Arabidopsis thaliana: one gene and its partners. The protein of the gene in region 3 purifies or fractionates together with the protein of the main gene of each other region. This does not show direct contact. Each region holds a gene or a part of one and is shown on either strand. Other genes may lie near its edges.

Region 1 (5,191 bases), 380 kb from region 3:
CGATCCAAAACAGATTTAGCTGCATAACAATACTAAATTAGTCGGCTTAACTTGCATAAACAACTGGATTCAACACTTTTTGTTTTTGTCTTAGCTCGTTAATGGATTGTTCTGACTTTTTCATTGCTGACAGCGACACGTGTACGATGCGTGGCAGACACATCACAATTCACACATGTACATTATCTCTTCGAATTTCTTGAAGTTATATCTACTTGATAAAAGAAATTGTATGTTCGCTTTTTACAAAGTTGAGGTATACGTCAAAAGGAAATTGAGATCACAAAGAAACAAAGTTAGTTAACAAAAGAAATTAAATTCAAGTATCCGTTTAATTTTCCTAATAAAAATCAATCTTGTCCCGGCCTACACTGTGATCGGTTTAGGCGATTTTGTCAATAATTGGCAAAATTGTAATGATCCGAGAGGAGAATGTTCAAAAGAGAGAACCTATGGTATTTATATGTTTCTCTATGAAAGAGGAAACATAATAACTTTTCGGACACGAAATGAAACTGATCGTTTCCATGAAAAATACATTCAGATGGAAGAAACGAAGGAAAATGTTGAGAAACCAAATAGAAAGTTGATTTCAGAAAAGAGTTCTTCTTGGAAATGGATTATAAGAAAAATCTCATAGCTAAAAAGAAGCAGTAAATAGATTCCAAAATTCCAAGGAACAAGATTATTACAGAACACAACTACAGTTTAATCAATGGAAACTCGTAATGTGAGTTGGCTCAGAACATTGAACACACGATGGTGAATAAGTTTCAAAAGATTTTTCCACTTACGAGTTAAATCGTCTCACTCTACCAGATCCAGACCCAAAAGCTCGAGGTGGTGCAACCATATCCATCTGCAATCTCTGTGAAGGTAAAAACTTTCGAGCTTCCATATACTTGTACATTCTTCTCGCATCTTTTTCAAACCCACCCCTTTTCAACGCACTTATAACTTTGTCAAACTCGTTAGGTCCCATTTGATCTCTCTTAGCTTCCAAAACCCCAAGAGCTTGAAGAGTCTTCTTCTCATTCCTCACACCCGAATACATACAGCACAAGCTCACCTGGAGTTCAAATGGTGGAGCTTCTCCTAACTGAGAGATCTTAACCAGAAGCTGCTCAGCTTCCTCGATAAGCCCAAGATTAGCCATCCAATCAACAAGAACGGTGTAAGTGATCACACCAATTTCAATCCCATCTTTCTCCAGCTGCAACAAAAGTCTCAGTGCCTTATCTAATGAGTTCTCTCCCTTATAAGCTCGGACCAAATTTGCAATGCACTTGTCATCGGGTTTGTGGCCAAGCTTTCTCATTTCATCAAAGTTACTTTTCGCTTTATCCACCTGACCTGCTTTCCCATATGCTTCCACAAATAAACTATATGCTTCAAAGCTCAGTGGACCGTCTGATGCATACTGCATTGAAGAAGAAATCCCCGCAGCTCCATTGGCATCTCCCATTTGTGCATAAGCTCGAAGCAGAGCCATGTAAACTTCTTCTGAGGCTTTCAACTCCTTTGCTTGCATCTCTTTCATCAACCTCTCACCTAGTTTAGGCTTGCCAGCGTTTACATAGCCCAGGATCATGGCTTCGTAGATCTTCTCGTCTGGCCGTAACCCATAGCTCTTCAAGTTTTCAAATGCCTCTGTTGCTCGCTCAAAGTTGCCTGATTTACTGTACATATGAACCAACGCAGTGGCGGTTAAAATGTCTGGAAAGATCCCATTTTGAGACATTTTCTTTAGAATCCTCTCAACATCTTCAATGTGATTCTCTTTAGCATGGATATGGATGAGTTTTGAGTAGTCCGAGATGCTAGCGTTGAACGATTTTTCATCCAGGACACCCTCTGCCACCTGTTGAAACATCAAAACCAGTACCAATTGATTAAAAATCATCTCTTCCAAACCCATGTTAGACATATGCATACAAGTACCACCATCTTGATTGAACAAACTACCTAGAGTAACAAATAAAACAACAACAAGAATCCCATTAAAAGAAGTAACGAAATCAAACCACAGAACTTCCACCCCATCAAATGACCTCCATAGCAATCCAATTAGCAAAAAAGCTTAAATCGAACAATTGGGGAAATCAGTCAAGAACCAACACTATAGAAGTAGGCCAATACAACAAACAAATATGCATCAAAGTTTGATTTGATTATGAATTTCAGAAGAACAATCTAGCGGAAGTCATTTTAATGATTGAAACTAAAGTCTAACCTTTAAGTATGCATGAGTGTTTCCTTCTCGCAACTGATTAATTAAAGCAATCCAATCCACACGGTTAGGCTCCAATAACTCAGCCCATTCAGCAAGCAACCCTGAAGGATCATCTCCCTCCTGCAAAGACTCAAGCTTCTCCATAACCAATTTGCACTTTCCAGTTACAGGTTTAGGCTCTCTCCAATCAGCCTCTTCCTCAGCTTCATGAATTTTATCAGCCATTTCAACCCATTTCGGATCCGACAACTCAAGCCCGTAGATCTTGTACTTCAACTTCCCCTTTCGTTTAGGAAGGGAGATACTCCTAGATTCAACTTCATCAGAAGGAACAAACCCTTCTTCTTCTACTTCTCCATCCACAGTTTCAGATTCCCTAATCGAATTATCCAAATCACGTTGCTGTTCCAAACTCTCATAAAACTCAGCGTCGTCCATTTTCTCTCTTGCCCATTTAAATCTAAGTTCTCTAAGCAAATCACCACGAATACCAATCTCTCCAGCAAACCTACACATCTCCATCACTTCAGGAGATTGAACGTATTGCTTCATCTTCTCCTTCTTCCTCTCTTTCTCCATATCTTTCAACACTGTATTACTAACTTCCCAGATAGTAGCCCATAGATCATCGCTAAACTCCGATGACGGTGAAGGTGGAGCTGATCCAACTTTATTGAATCCACCTCTTTCGATTTCTTCCACGACTTTCTCAACAATAAGCAGAAGCATACCATCAATCATCTTCTTGTCACAATCTGGGTAAGCTTCTGAGACTTTCCCACGCATTATCCAAACGAATCGTGAGAGGAACTCGTTTGTTGTTCCATCTTCGTCATCTTCCTCTTGGTCATTTGAGTCGTCAATGGCGGCACTGGATTCACTGAGTCGGGACTCGCGAGTAAAGTGGAAATATCGATTGAATGATGAAATGGGTCTAGGGATTTCGACATTTTGGAATGGGGTTTGTTCGTCGTAGCTTCTTAGATGACGATCAGAGTGAGAAATGGTGGATGTAATGGCGGAGAAGTTTCTGCAGAAAGTTGGGGTTTTTGAAGATAATAGTGAAATACGGTGGATCGCTTGTCTAGAGAGGAGGAAAGATTTCATCTTTCTCCGAAGAGTTTAACAGAAGGACGATAAATCTCGGCAAAACCCTAACTTTAGCTCAGAAATTGAGTGAGAAAGGAAGAGGTCAAGATCACAGAAATGGGACTCGAATTAGGGTTGGCTTGCCGTTTATTTGTAATTTTCAAAAAGAACCCTCAAGTTTAGAAATAATACTTAAATCATTCTTATGCATTCTAAAGTTTCTCTTTTGACCCTGTGCTCAGAGTCCCATCATTTCCCTCCAATTTCAAACAAATTACACATCATAAGCCAAACATATACAGCAAAACTTCTATAAATTAATACTTGAAAAATTAATAAATTTTTCAAGTATTAATTTATAGAAGTTTTGCTGTAATGAGCAGAGAGTCTGAGCAAGTTCTTTAGAATGCATAAGAATGAGCACAGATTCTGAGCAAGTTGGGACCAATGTAAAAATTGATAAAAATCGATAAATTAATAAGATAATAATATTTTTGAAAATCTTATATAATTATATGGTCCATCAATAGTATAAATTAATAATTATATAAATTTATCAATATATATTATAAATATCATATGTAAAATATGAGTCTAGTAATGTTTTTCTTCAATTTTTGTTAATTCTTTGTAGTGTTCAATTCTAATATTTTACAATATCGAAAAAATTGTATTGTTTTTCAAACTTAATAATTGCTTTCTACTTGTAATTGGTTTTAGAAATACTATTGATTATAGGGAAAAAAACTATATTTTATATCGAATTTTTGTAAGAATTTACAAAATTTGTACAATTTTATTTATTTATCGATAAATTAATACCTCTCTAAATTAATAAATTTTATTGGTCCAAATATTATTAATTTATAGAGGTTTTACTGTATGTCAAAGTTAGGCGGCGTGAGTGCATTTTTCTAAATAAGTTTGCGTTCTTTCCAAATTGTAACTAGTGTTTCTAAGTCAGAAGTAGATAAAGGTTTCGTATAGTTGCGGTAATCATGGCAATTCTTTGATATAGTAAGCACAAAAATGATACATACAAATATAGTAATATACAATCCACACAAAATAAAATGGTCTAACTAGTAACTAATACTAAAAACTAAAAACAAATTACCTAGTACTTGAGTAAGAATGAGTGATAACAAAGGTGACTACATCAAAAACTCGTGCATCCAATATCCAAACTCGGATCATGTATTATCTATGAAGACTCAATTAGTTGTTCTCAAAAATGTCCTTCACCAAAACATCATAATTCATTCATGTCGGGATTAAATTTGCCATAGTGACCGAAACTATTTCTCTCATAGCTAACAAAAACCTATAGAGAGTAGGATATGGTGAATGGTGTGGTCATCACTCTCACTCTAGTCAATATGGAGTAAAAACCACATAATTTAGATGAGTCGTGTAATCTTCTAACTTATATTGGAAGAGATTGTAGTACGACGTGTCTTAAAACTTTTCACAATAAACGTTATGTGGTGTTTTTGCTGCACCATAGAGGAATGGTGCAAAAAGACATTATTATGCTATGAGACCACACTGAATCTCCAAATTCTTGTATAATTATCAGAATCAATTATACATATATAATTTCTGTTAAGAAAAAGAAATAATGAAACATACACTTTACTATATTTTTGACAAAAAAAACATATAATTTGTTATAACTTATAATTATTAAAATGAATTCATTTTCATAAAACAAGAAAGGATTGGATAAAAATGTACAACTATGAATGAGAATCAATGCAGAGATAGGGATATTGGAATTTTATCCCAAAAGAAGACGATAATATCTCTTATGGTATTATTCTTTTTTCAGCTAAATTTAAGTGGCTCTTATCAAAATGGTTGTCGTCC
Region 2 (5,494 bases), on a different chromosome or scaffold from region 3:
CATTCCCCTCAATCTTTTTGTACTTTGATTTTTGCTTTCTCTTTTCTTTTGATATTTTGATGTTTATGGAATAATAGTATCACCCAAATTTGGTTAATGATTTGCTCATAGATTAGAAAAGATATAAGTATGGGGAAGGATACTGCATTACTAATTATTTCCCTATTTTTGATGTTTTATTACTTTAGTTTGATGCAAACAAGCTGTTTAGTCTAAGTAAATTAGTGTATTTATTTATTTTTGTTAAACAAGATCTGCACGTTTATTTTTGTTTGAATTTAGTCTACGTAATTTATTATATATATATATATATATATATATTTATAGTAAATTAGGATTGTTGCTTGCAATTGGATATATCCGACGGTAAATAAACGGTGTATTGTGGTTCGTACGTGTTCGTTGAGGTTGTCGATGATAGAGGTTTGTGTATGGGTTGCCGCTATATTGTCAAGGTTCCGCATAGTTGAAATCTAGTTTTGGATTATGTTTAATTACTCATATCTGGTTAGCTCTAAAGAGTCAATTTATGTCTCATGAATGACCGTCAAATGATTTATGCTCAGAAAATCAAACTTCAGCAAATCCAAATACAACTAACATTTACGAAACACAAACAAATTGTTACACATGTCCCTCGTTCATTCATATTTTCCATGCAACAAAGGTTACGGAAACCAAAAATGAAACTATGATAGCTATTTATAAAACTGATTCGACCAACAATAATAATTAGATTATTCTCTTGGGTAGTTATAATAATTGTAACCATAATTCTTCTCTTCTTCTTCACGCTGCTGTTGTTGTTGTTGTAGCTGCTGTTGCTGCGTCTGTTGGGAGGAAGAAGAAGATGAAGAAGGCGTTGAAAAAGGTTGACTGAAGAGAGTCGACGTGTAGTATGATAAATCAACCTCATTGTTACTCGTAAGCAACTGAGCGTATTGAAGTATGTCCTGGTTATAAGTCATTGGCCACGAAGTAGTAGTAGTTGAAGGTGGACCAGGTCGAGGAGGAGGTGAGTTCATGGATTCACTAACTCCTCTTGGTGCATGAGAAATGGTTGTGGTGGTAGTAGGGCCTTGGACCCGTTCAGGGAAGTTCAGTTTAGCCTTGGTGCCTTTGAATTTGAGGGCAGCTCGGTCATAGGCTAAAGCAGCTTCCTCTGCCGTCTCGAAAGTCCCGAGCCAGACACGGGCTGCTTTCTTTGGATCGCGGATTTCTGCCGCCCATTTACCCCATGGTCTCTGCCTTACGCCTCTATAGTGTCTTCTTCTTGGTTGATCTTGAAGAACATGAAACAAGAAATTAAAACAAAAATTACATATTGCATGTGCAATTCTACATGCATGAGAAGAATTATTGCTACGTGGGATTTCAACGATTGGTTATAGCAAGAGAATAATTGTTTAATATATATGATTTAGACGAAAAGAATGAAGGATTTAACTAAAGATGATGCATACAATAATACTTAAAACGTATCAACTATGTGGATTACTTAACTTTGCACGATAGACTATATACTATTCCTCTCATAAAATTACATTTTTAACTTTTTAGTTTTGATGGAATCAAATATATATACAGGCAATCAAACCTGAAGTTCAAGTATGTGGTTTACATTTTCTGTAATTACTAGACATTTGGACTGAACCGAAAATCAAAGCTTGAATCATATATACAATTTTTCTATAAAGCTGTTCCTATTAATAGAGTCAATCCAGTTGAATAATTGATTCATTGCTATATTTATTACTTTTATCAGTTTTAAGCAACGAAATATTCTTCTTCTTTTTTTCTGTCAGACCAGCGAAATATTCAGAAAGTCAAGCAGCTACATATTGACATATCAAAATTCACACAAATAAACTAATAATACTGAGCAAAACATATATATTTGGTTAAACAATTGAAGATTCATTCTCAAAACTCAAAAGAAATCCTCGTCAATTCAATGTTTTGTCCCAAAAATAAAAGTTACGGTATCTAGCTAGAAAGAATAACTGGATTTTTGTTTCTACATATGATTAACTTAGCATTCAAATAATAAAAAGTGTAAATGAAATAAAAGGATAATTAAAACTAATTCGTCATGAGTTTTGATAAAGACCATGCGTATGTGTCATTTTGACATATTTTGGCTTCTAACTAACGAAGCTTAAAAACGAGTTAATCATGTGGAAAGAAATACTTCAAAATATTGATAAAAGGACAACCATAAAGTTGATAGAGAATGATATCTAAGATAACTAAATTTTCAAAATGAACAAAAGGAACATGCGTGGTCAAAATTACTCTAATCAGTTAGGTAAGAAGCCATATGTATATATGTTTGACGACTTAAGACATGGAGTCAATAAAATATTATCTAACTTGTACTTTGAAACAAACAAACAAACAAACAAAAATCAAATCTAGATGTATATATTAAAAAAGAGGATAGACACGTTGTATGCTGATCGGTGGTTCAATTCAAAAACAAGAAGGAAAGTTCTTTACGGAAAGTAAATTAAATGAAAGATGCATTGAACTTGAACTTGAATTCTAACCTACACAAATTCCTTTTTTCCCAAATATAATAATTAAGAAAGAAAAATTCGACAAAGGGTTATTAATAGTAAGTCTTTAGTTAGTGTGTAACTTATTATAACAAAGTTACATCAACTAGCTAAAAACAATTAAGCTGTCATATGATCAAGATATAATTATTGTATTAGTTACCTTGGTCTGGTTGATGTTGATCCGATTTATCAAGCTCTTGTTTGACCGGCGGGTCTGTCGGATTCTCTATGACACGGCTGAGAGCGGAGACCATGGCGGTGACATCAGTCTCGTTCCAAGACGAATTATCATCCGCCGCCGCCGATGTTTCCGGTGGAACCGGTCCCTTTCCATACCTCCGATCCACTTTTACAACAAAGTATGTACTCACACGTATATGTAACACACAAACACACCAAGAGAATAATAGGTGTGTGTGTATATATGTACAAGACTTTGAAAGGAACTAAGTTTGAAACGAATTGATGATGATAGGGAATCTGTGGAGTGACTAGGACATGGAGCTTGGCTTGGTGATGAACAACAAGTGGGGATCGCAAATAAGGGTTTTCTTTGGTTTAGGCTATGATGTGATGTTATGAGGAAAGAAGAGGTGACAAAAGGGTTTTATAAAGAGAAGGATCTACAAGAAAAAATAGATGATAAAAATATTAATTAAAATCTTTGGAATGGTGCGGGGTAGGACCGTTCTTTGAGTTCATAGTTCTCTTTTTCTTTTTCTCAATCTTTAAACTTTTTTGGGAGCTTATTAGCTTCGCATGTTTTGGCAGCAGTGTTATGCACAAATAAGGAATGAGTGCGGACCCAACATTTCTAATTTTTCATCTGTTTTTTTACTAAAAAATAAAATAAACTAATTGGGTCAGTTTTATTTTTATTGGTATATTTGTATATGTATTTGTTCCAGTATATTATCTATTAAAATTTTGAAATTCGATCGTATAATTGATTTGTTATGTACAAATCAATTATTATATATGCAGCAAAGTACGAAAAATAATTTTTGTAATCTAATTTTAGGAATCAAAGCTTGTATGAGTGTATCCATTTGAAAATCATATATTTACAGTTAACCATATTTTATATTAATTCCGGATAAATTGGGCCTTTGGGCCGTCGCCTGTATGTACCACCTTTTGGACCGGGCCTGCTTCTATTGACGAGTCCAATCTTTTCTTTTGCTTGGAGAGAATTTTGCAAAGTTGCAATTATTTTTCTAAAAGCTGCAAGATTAGTCAGGTACTAAACTGCATATAAAATTTTGTGTTTTGGACACTCTACTAAAATTATGCTAAAATCATCATAACCAAAACAAAACCAAACTACACATGGTTTACCTGGTTTTTGAAAAACACACGAACCGAAAGAAAACGAAACCGGATTGTTATTTTGGTACTTGTTGTTAGTCATGGACTCATGGCTCAGGGTGGTGAAGTGTAACGAAGGGTTTGGTTTCATCTCAAAGTTGTTTGGCCATCTTCCAAGTCTTTGCCAACTTCAGTTCAATGGAATAAAATACTCTGTTTCTGAGTAAAGACTCGGAAATTCTCAATGGTGTTTTCCGTTTAAAGAGGAAAATCAGATAAAGACTGAATCAAATATATATATTAAAAAAATATAAACAAACATTCAGACAAATTAGTACACTCTCAAATCACAACAAATCAATTGAACCAAACCCTTTATGGAAAAAAAAAGAAGACAAATCACTTGAACCTATATAAAACCAAGGAAGAACAATCAAATACTGAAGAATTTGGCTACCACACATGTCTCCAATACTTGCAAGGCTTTCCCTGACTTAATGCATCTAGGAGTCTTGTATTGACCGGTGGAAGCACCTTGTGAGATGAAGAAGTCCATGAGAGAATCAAACGTTCCTTGACGCACCACTCTTATCTCGAGAGGCCCGATCGATCCGTCTTTGAATCGACATCTCTTGTAAACATTATCAAGCGACTCCTCCATTACCAAACAACACGTGGAGAGTGCCTCTTCATCGAGCTCAAACTGTGCCGTCTCCTTCTCCTCTCCCTCTTTGGTATCTACTTCCAAGTAAACCACGTAGTGACCTGGAAATGTTGAGGTGTCAGCATAACTGGTGAAGTCTTTCAGATCGAGACCTGATGACTCGAGTACGAGCTTCGCTTGACTCACAGCCTTAAACAGATCTTCTTCGTTAGTTTTATCGGAATCGATGCTTAAGACGACGTTTTCTCTTCTTACAAACTTAAACTGAGGCGCGTTGTTGTAGAAACCAGTCACCAAAACAATATCTCCCACTCTCATCCTATACAAGCCTGAAGAAAAAAAAAACATTTTCACAAACATTAGTTAAACCATGTAGAAAAAAGTATGCATTTTATTGAATTCATGATCGATGTTTTTAAGCTCACCAGCGAAATTTGTGACAACGGGTTCATAAGTGCACCCAAGTTTCACATCTTCTAGGTCAACCACATCGTTCTTGTCTCCTCCATCCATTGGTATGAACTCAAAGTAAGACATGTTGGGCATGAAAGTGTAAGAAACATCTTCAGGTTTGCACAGAGGATCTAGATTGATCCCAAAGGTAGTCTCCGAAGAACCGTAAGTTGTTGAAACGAGAGGCAAGTCGTTACAATAGTAGTTCAACATGGGAACGTACTGTCCCATTGAACCAGTGACAACGGTTTCGATATATTTGGTGTTTGGCCAAAGTCTTTTGACTATACCTTTCCAAGAATTTTGGTTGCATATTTCTTCAATAGTGTCTGCTAATTCAGGACGTGGCCCTCCAAGAACCAAAGAAACAGAGTTTTGACAACCCAAGTCTGTGACCCAGTTACTGAGATGGCCCGATCGGATGTTTGAACACAACTCCTCCCAAGAATTCTTAAGGACCTCGATAGCTCGGACCATGACTGAAGCAAAGATGGAACCCGTCCTCACA
Region 3 (5,295 bases):
TTTCATTGCTATGTTACAGGATGGTAAGGTATCACAGCTTGAGCATGTCTTCATTCGAGGCAGCAAAGTCAGGTGCTGCAACACTTCTTAGAGAACACTGTAAAACCAAACAAAGGAGAACAAGAGAGATATGTCCAGATGCACTACTAGTTCTGTATTTTGGGTTACCAAGATGTTTGAATCATTGACAAGTTTTCGTTGTGATCTATTTTCTTCTTTGCGCATTCTCCATTTCTGACAGTAGATGAGTAAAACAAAGTACATTGTTTTCATAAAGGTCTTAATAAGACTAAGATCAGAAAACAAAGATAAATTGAAGGAACAAGATTATGAAATACTAGAAGTAATGATTATATCCTCCTTCAATAAAGACTGCAATACTGTAGACTTTGAGTTGTCTAAATAACGTAGTCTATATGGTCATTTATAACATTAATATATAAGCTATAAAAGAATATTGTACTTGTATTTTCATCATGTAAAAACCTTGTCAACTGCAATTTTCCCAAATTACAATCCAAAAAATTGCCATGTACTTGTAGAATATTTGATAGGGTCTAGAGATTCAGTTCCAGAGTACCAAAACGACATGTAGAAGAATATTTGATTCAGTCTAGAGGTTCAGCTCCCGAGTAATATTAACCAAACTGGATCATAGATTTTCCTGAGTCTATACAAGAATCGATTCACAAGTTGAATATAGGAAAGCATGATATCAGAAGATTCTTTTTATTCTCTCTCAAGTGAAGAAAGATCTAAAGACCTTAGAAAGAGAAGAATACACTCTTTTTGGGCTACTTGCCATGATATCTAAAGATCCATTCTTCTCCCATTTTGGGCAACTTGCTCTACTATCTCTCTTTCTCTCACACTCTTTTTGTTCTAAAGAAAAACTCGAGTTAAGTCATATTAGATTCTTATTAATATTAAATCAGAAACCCAGCTGGTTCAGTTCTTGCAGCATGACAGAACTTAGATGTGTTGTACTTTCTGTGAACTCCTGTGAGCTTCCCTGTTCCTGCCTTGTGATGGAAAGCAACCATCTTTCTCGCACATGCCCTAGAAAAAACACAAAAACCCACTGTCAGGATACCAAAATCTCATGTCATGGGGTTTTCAAAAAAATCAATGTATGTTCTTACAGTAGCTGTTTTTCGTTGTAGCCTGTGTGAAACTCACAGGTTTTGCTCCATTCTTCAAATCCCTTAAGTGTACACTGAGCAGTGTAGATTGCTGAGGCCGCCAGCTTAGATGGAAGATACTCTAGCATCTCATACTCCACAAGGCAAAGCTCGATCATAAAGAATGATAAAATCTCAAGCTGAAACCACAATTGCATATACCACACCGATTTAGATATTAGGCCTGATGGTTTCCGGATATAATGATTCAAGCTTTTTTAGTTAGGGAGATATATACCTTCTTGTCAGATTGGGCAGCTTTGAGAAATCGTTTCATGAAAACATATGGAGTTGGTAGAGAGAAATTGAATTGCAAGGTGTTGGCCATTAGCTTCTCCTGCAATAGAAACCAAAAACAGGTAAATTCAACTATGAAGCATCAACCAGTGGTAGTTAATGATCAAGACAAAGTTGTGTATTCACCATATCTAGCACTTCTCTTCTAGAGTAAGCTTTGTCAGAGATCAAGATGAGATCATCTACCACTGGAACTGAAACTTCTTCATATTTACATGCAAGCAACAAAGCAGTAACACCAACAAGCTGAAGCTTTTTCCTCACGATTTGATGAACCGCAAGGAATCTGTCGATGACATTGATTGTGAGATAAAGAGTTTCCTCCATCAGTTCAAACTTGTAGTGCACCTGGACAAGATAATTTTCCAGTCAATTTATCTTCAGGCACATTGAGACAAAAAAAGTGGCATTAAATAGCTTTTGTCTAGATCTGTCTACCTCAATTAACCAGTCAATGAGGATTCCTCTCATTCTCTCATTAAGATCTTGTTGATTGTCCATATAGTTAGGAGGCACGCAACTAAGTTTCTGCAGAATCATAAGAATGAATCAAACATAAGTACAAGATTTTGAAACTACAATCCTTTCGATGATAAAGAACACAAAAGCAAAAGTTGATGTGAAACAAGACAAATTCACCTCAAAATTCTTGTAGAAGGTATGCATATCATGGATATATTCAACCGCAGCCAAAGGATTATTCTTATCACAGGCATCAATATCGATCACAGGCTCTTCTTCTTTGTCTGCATCTTCCATTTCAATCTCCTTCTCCTTTTGAAAGACACAAACAATATGAGTAACTATATTAACACTTCCATAAACAAAGCAAAGAATGGTTAGGAAATATGTATACCATCTGTTCAATCTCCTCCAGCATTGCTTCAGTATGTTGTACAAACATTGGCTCATTAGAGTCACCTCCTTCTTTATCACTTTCATCCACATCAATGATAATCGTCTCTGGTTCTTCACTTGAAACTGAGTCTGGTTTCTTAGTTTCCTAAGAGTTAAAGATCAGAACTTTAAAATCCGGTCTATATCATCATTGCTCTAAATGAAACATACATTGAACAATAGGGTACCTCATCACGGATATGTGGCTTATGATCTGCTAACTGAGCAGCAAACTTCCTGAACCAACAGAGAGTAGTAAAAGTTAAGTAATCAGACAATGTGAGATACTCAAAGTAGACAAGAGTAAAGATCTATGCTTACCTAGTAACTGGTCGATGCACAGGTGGTTTATTACAAATGCCATCTCTTCTGCAAAGTCACAGAAAGAAATAGGGTTCCTATAAGAGTCTAATCAAAGGGAGAAGAAAAAAAAAACACTAATCTTGAATCTGAGGATTAAAGTGAACTTACTCAGAAACTGATCTCTTGTTGACAGCATAAGGGTAAGACGGCGCTTCAGTGATGTTCTTGTTAATAGTACTTAGTGCTCTTCTTGTCGGTCCTGTTGTTGCCGTCGTCTTGATCTTTCCTACTACTCCTCCCCCTACATCAAGTAAATTCAAAATCAATTTGGGGGAAAAATCAAAGAGAACGAAAGTTTTGATTTTTAATAACAAAATCGATCGATTTAGGGTACCTTGGAGACTCATTGATCCGATTAATCCAAGGCTATTTTCATCTGATCTAACCATTTTCTTCTTCTTCGTTATCTGCGGAAGTTATTTATTTTCATTAAATCTCTTCTCTTGAAGAAATCAAATTTCAAAATCGAAACATCCCCCAACTTAAAAGCAGGGGTTTTCAAAATTGAAACTAAAAAAACAGTCTTGACAATCAAAACCCTATAGATCCGGTTTAATAATCTCAATGAAAGACCCAATCAAGAACAACAAAGACCTAAATCTCAAATACCCAGAAGATAACGAAAACCCACGAATTGGTTTTTCAAAAAAATCACCTTTTCACAGTCAATTCAAAGAACCAACGCGAGATTAAGTCGACCCTTGATCATAAATTCTTATGAAACCCAGTGAATCTCCTAAACCCTAATAGTCTTTTATCCCGTTGGATCCAAGTTGATCAAACAAAGGAGAGAAAGAGAGATCTTTTAGTAAAACCCAAAGATTCAACCACGCTCTCTTTCTCTCTAATGGCTTCGGTTTTGAAGATACTTCCCACTCTCTCTCTATCTCTCTTTATAAGGGTAAAGAAAAAAAGAAAAAAAAAAGAGTAAGATTGATTTTGAAGATTAGAAGAGCGTCTATAGTGTATTAGTTTTCTTTAAAATTAACGGCTAGTTCATCTCAGCCGTTGGATCAACGCCACGTGTTCCAGATCGAAAGTTGTCTTCTATTCAACGGTTATAATTGTATATCATCTATGTATAGATTTATTCAAATTCTTTGATTTTTTTTTCTTTTATTCTATTTTGGGGAAGACAACTATTTTTATTTTATTTTTGAAAATTACACCATGAAATAATATTCATTTCTATAAAAACAAATAAAACACTTCTATTTAAAAGAATCAAATATGTCTCCTTTGACCAAAGACCAAGATTCGTTTATATTAATCTCAAGTTAAATGATTTTCTTTTTCAAGCAAGAAATCTCACACAAAGTTTAGATTTTCTTCAAGTGTATCATTAGAATATTATACTACAAGGGCAAAGAAAAAAAGAAAAAATAAAGAATAATAGAGATTTTGAAGACTAGAAGAGCGGATATATTGTCTGTATAATATCTTTAAAATTAACAGCTAGTTGCCTAGTTCATATCAGCTGTTGGATTAATGCCACGTGTTCCAAATCGAAAGTTGCCTTATGTTCAACGGCTATCATTGTTTTTCATCCATGTGTATGTGTACTTATTCAAATTCTTTGGGTTTTTTTTGTTTTCAATAACAAATATCTCGGTAATATTTATTAGGTTAACATGATAACAAAATATTTATATCAATAAATTTATAATTATGTCATGCTAAGTCATTTTGAATCGCAATAAGTTATAACTTATGTGATATATTTATATTTACCGTCTTAACTCATTTATTATATCATATAAAAAAATTAACGAGTTACTATAACGTGCAAAATATGAATTTCATCCAATAAGATTATTATTGTCACTACCTCTAGATAAAGTATTAGTTAACTCGGTAATTTGATTGTTAACCAATTTGAACTGAATCTGAACAAAAACTATCATTGTCGTAATCTTCACAGGTACAGTGGTATGGCAATAAGAATAGTTATATAATATAGAGGTATTATTGTATTTGCCACAAAAATAGTGTAAGATAAACAGTAGAAAAAAATGGACTTAATTTTCGATTCTTCCGAGTAAGAATGATAATACCCTTCCCTTTTTTATTTTGGGAAAGACAACTATTTTTATTTTATTTTCGAAAATTACACTATATAATATACATTTCTATAATAACAAATAAAATACTATTATTTAAAAAATCAAATACATCACCTTTGACCAAAAACCAAGACTCGTTTAAGAAATCAAATACATTTATATTAATCTCAAGTTAAATGATTTTCTTTTTCGAGTAAGAAATCTCACACAAAGTTTAGACCTTCTTCAAGTGTATCATTAGAATATCGTACTATATTTTTATGGGAAAAAGATATATAGAGTTGTTTACATGATAATGGCATTGATATACTGCATTTACTATCAATCACTTTTAAATCAATCAAGTCATTTGTGTAGAAGTGTGAACATTGCGTTTCTATGTAGAAACACAACAATAGCATTTTGTTTCCATTGATATAGATACATTAAATAAATATGATATGCCATTAGGTTAAGTTTGAGATCATTCTATAAGTTCTTGTTTCAGATTTTTG

The links. The genes of interacting proteins can lie anywhere in the genome.
Region 1: the proteins of CYCB2;3 (region 3) and NFD5 purify together in Arabidopsis thaliana (affinity purification with mass spectrometry, with the first as the bait; one large-scale study listed by BioGRID). This does not show direct contact.
Region 2: the proteins of CYCB2;3 (region 3) and Rap2.6L purify together in Arabidopsis thaliana (affinity purification with mass spectrometry, with the first as the bait; one large-scale study listed by BioGRID). This does not show direct contact.

The regions. Positions count from the first base shown.
Region 1 is NC_003070.9:6,758,181-6,763,371, reverse strand, and holds NFD5 (pentatricopeptide (PPR) repeat-containing protein), read right to left. Parts: upstream 3,514-5,191; 5' UTR 3,341-3,513; coding exon 2,234-3,340; coding exon of another isoform or gene 2,222-2,233; exon of another isoform or gene 1,862-2,221; coding exon 791-1,861; 3' UTR 525-790; downstream 1-524. UniProt on the Arabidopsis thaliana protein: Required for karyogamy during female gametophyte development, when the two polar nuclei fuse to form the diploid central cell nucleus.
Region 2 is NC_003076.8:4,269,705-4,275,198, reverse strand, and holds Rap2.6L (uncharacterized protein), read right to left. Parts: upstream 3,470-5,494; 5' UTR 2,816-3,469; coding exon 2,722-2,815; intron 1,283-2,721; coding exon 738-1,282; 3' UTR 525-737; downstream 1-524. Other genes in the region: PBS3 (Auxin-responsive GH3 family protein), read right to left, coding at 4,303-4,862, 4,959-5,494.
Region 3 is NC_003070.9:7,134,147-7,139,441, forward strand, and holds CYCB2;3 (Cyclin B2;3), read right to left. Parts: upstream 3,683-5,295; 5' UTR 3,394-3,682; intron 3,146-3,393; 5' UTR 3,128-3,145; coding exon 3,073-3,127; intron 2,980-3,072; coding exon 2,847-2,979; intron 2,745-2,846; coding exon 2,697-2,744; intron 2,613-2,696; coding exon 2,564-2,612; intron 2,482-2,563; coding exon 2,335-2,481; intron 2,253-2,334; coding exon 2,118-2,252; intron 2,007-2,117; coding exon 1,917-2,006; intron 1,827-1,916; coding exon 1,605-1,826; intron 1,519-1,604; coding exon 1,420-1,518; intron 1,322-1,419; coding exon 1,143-1,321; intron 1,060-1,142; coding exon 927-1,059; 3' UTR 513-926; downstream 1-512. Other genes in the region: AT1G20600 (AP2/B3-like transcriptional factor family protein), read left to right, coding at 20-91.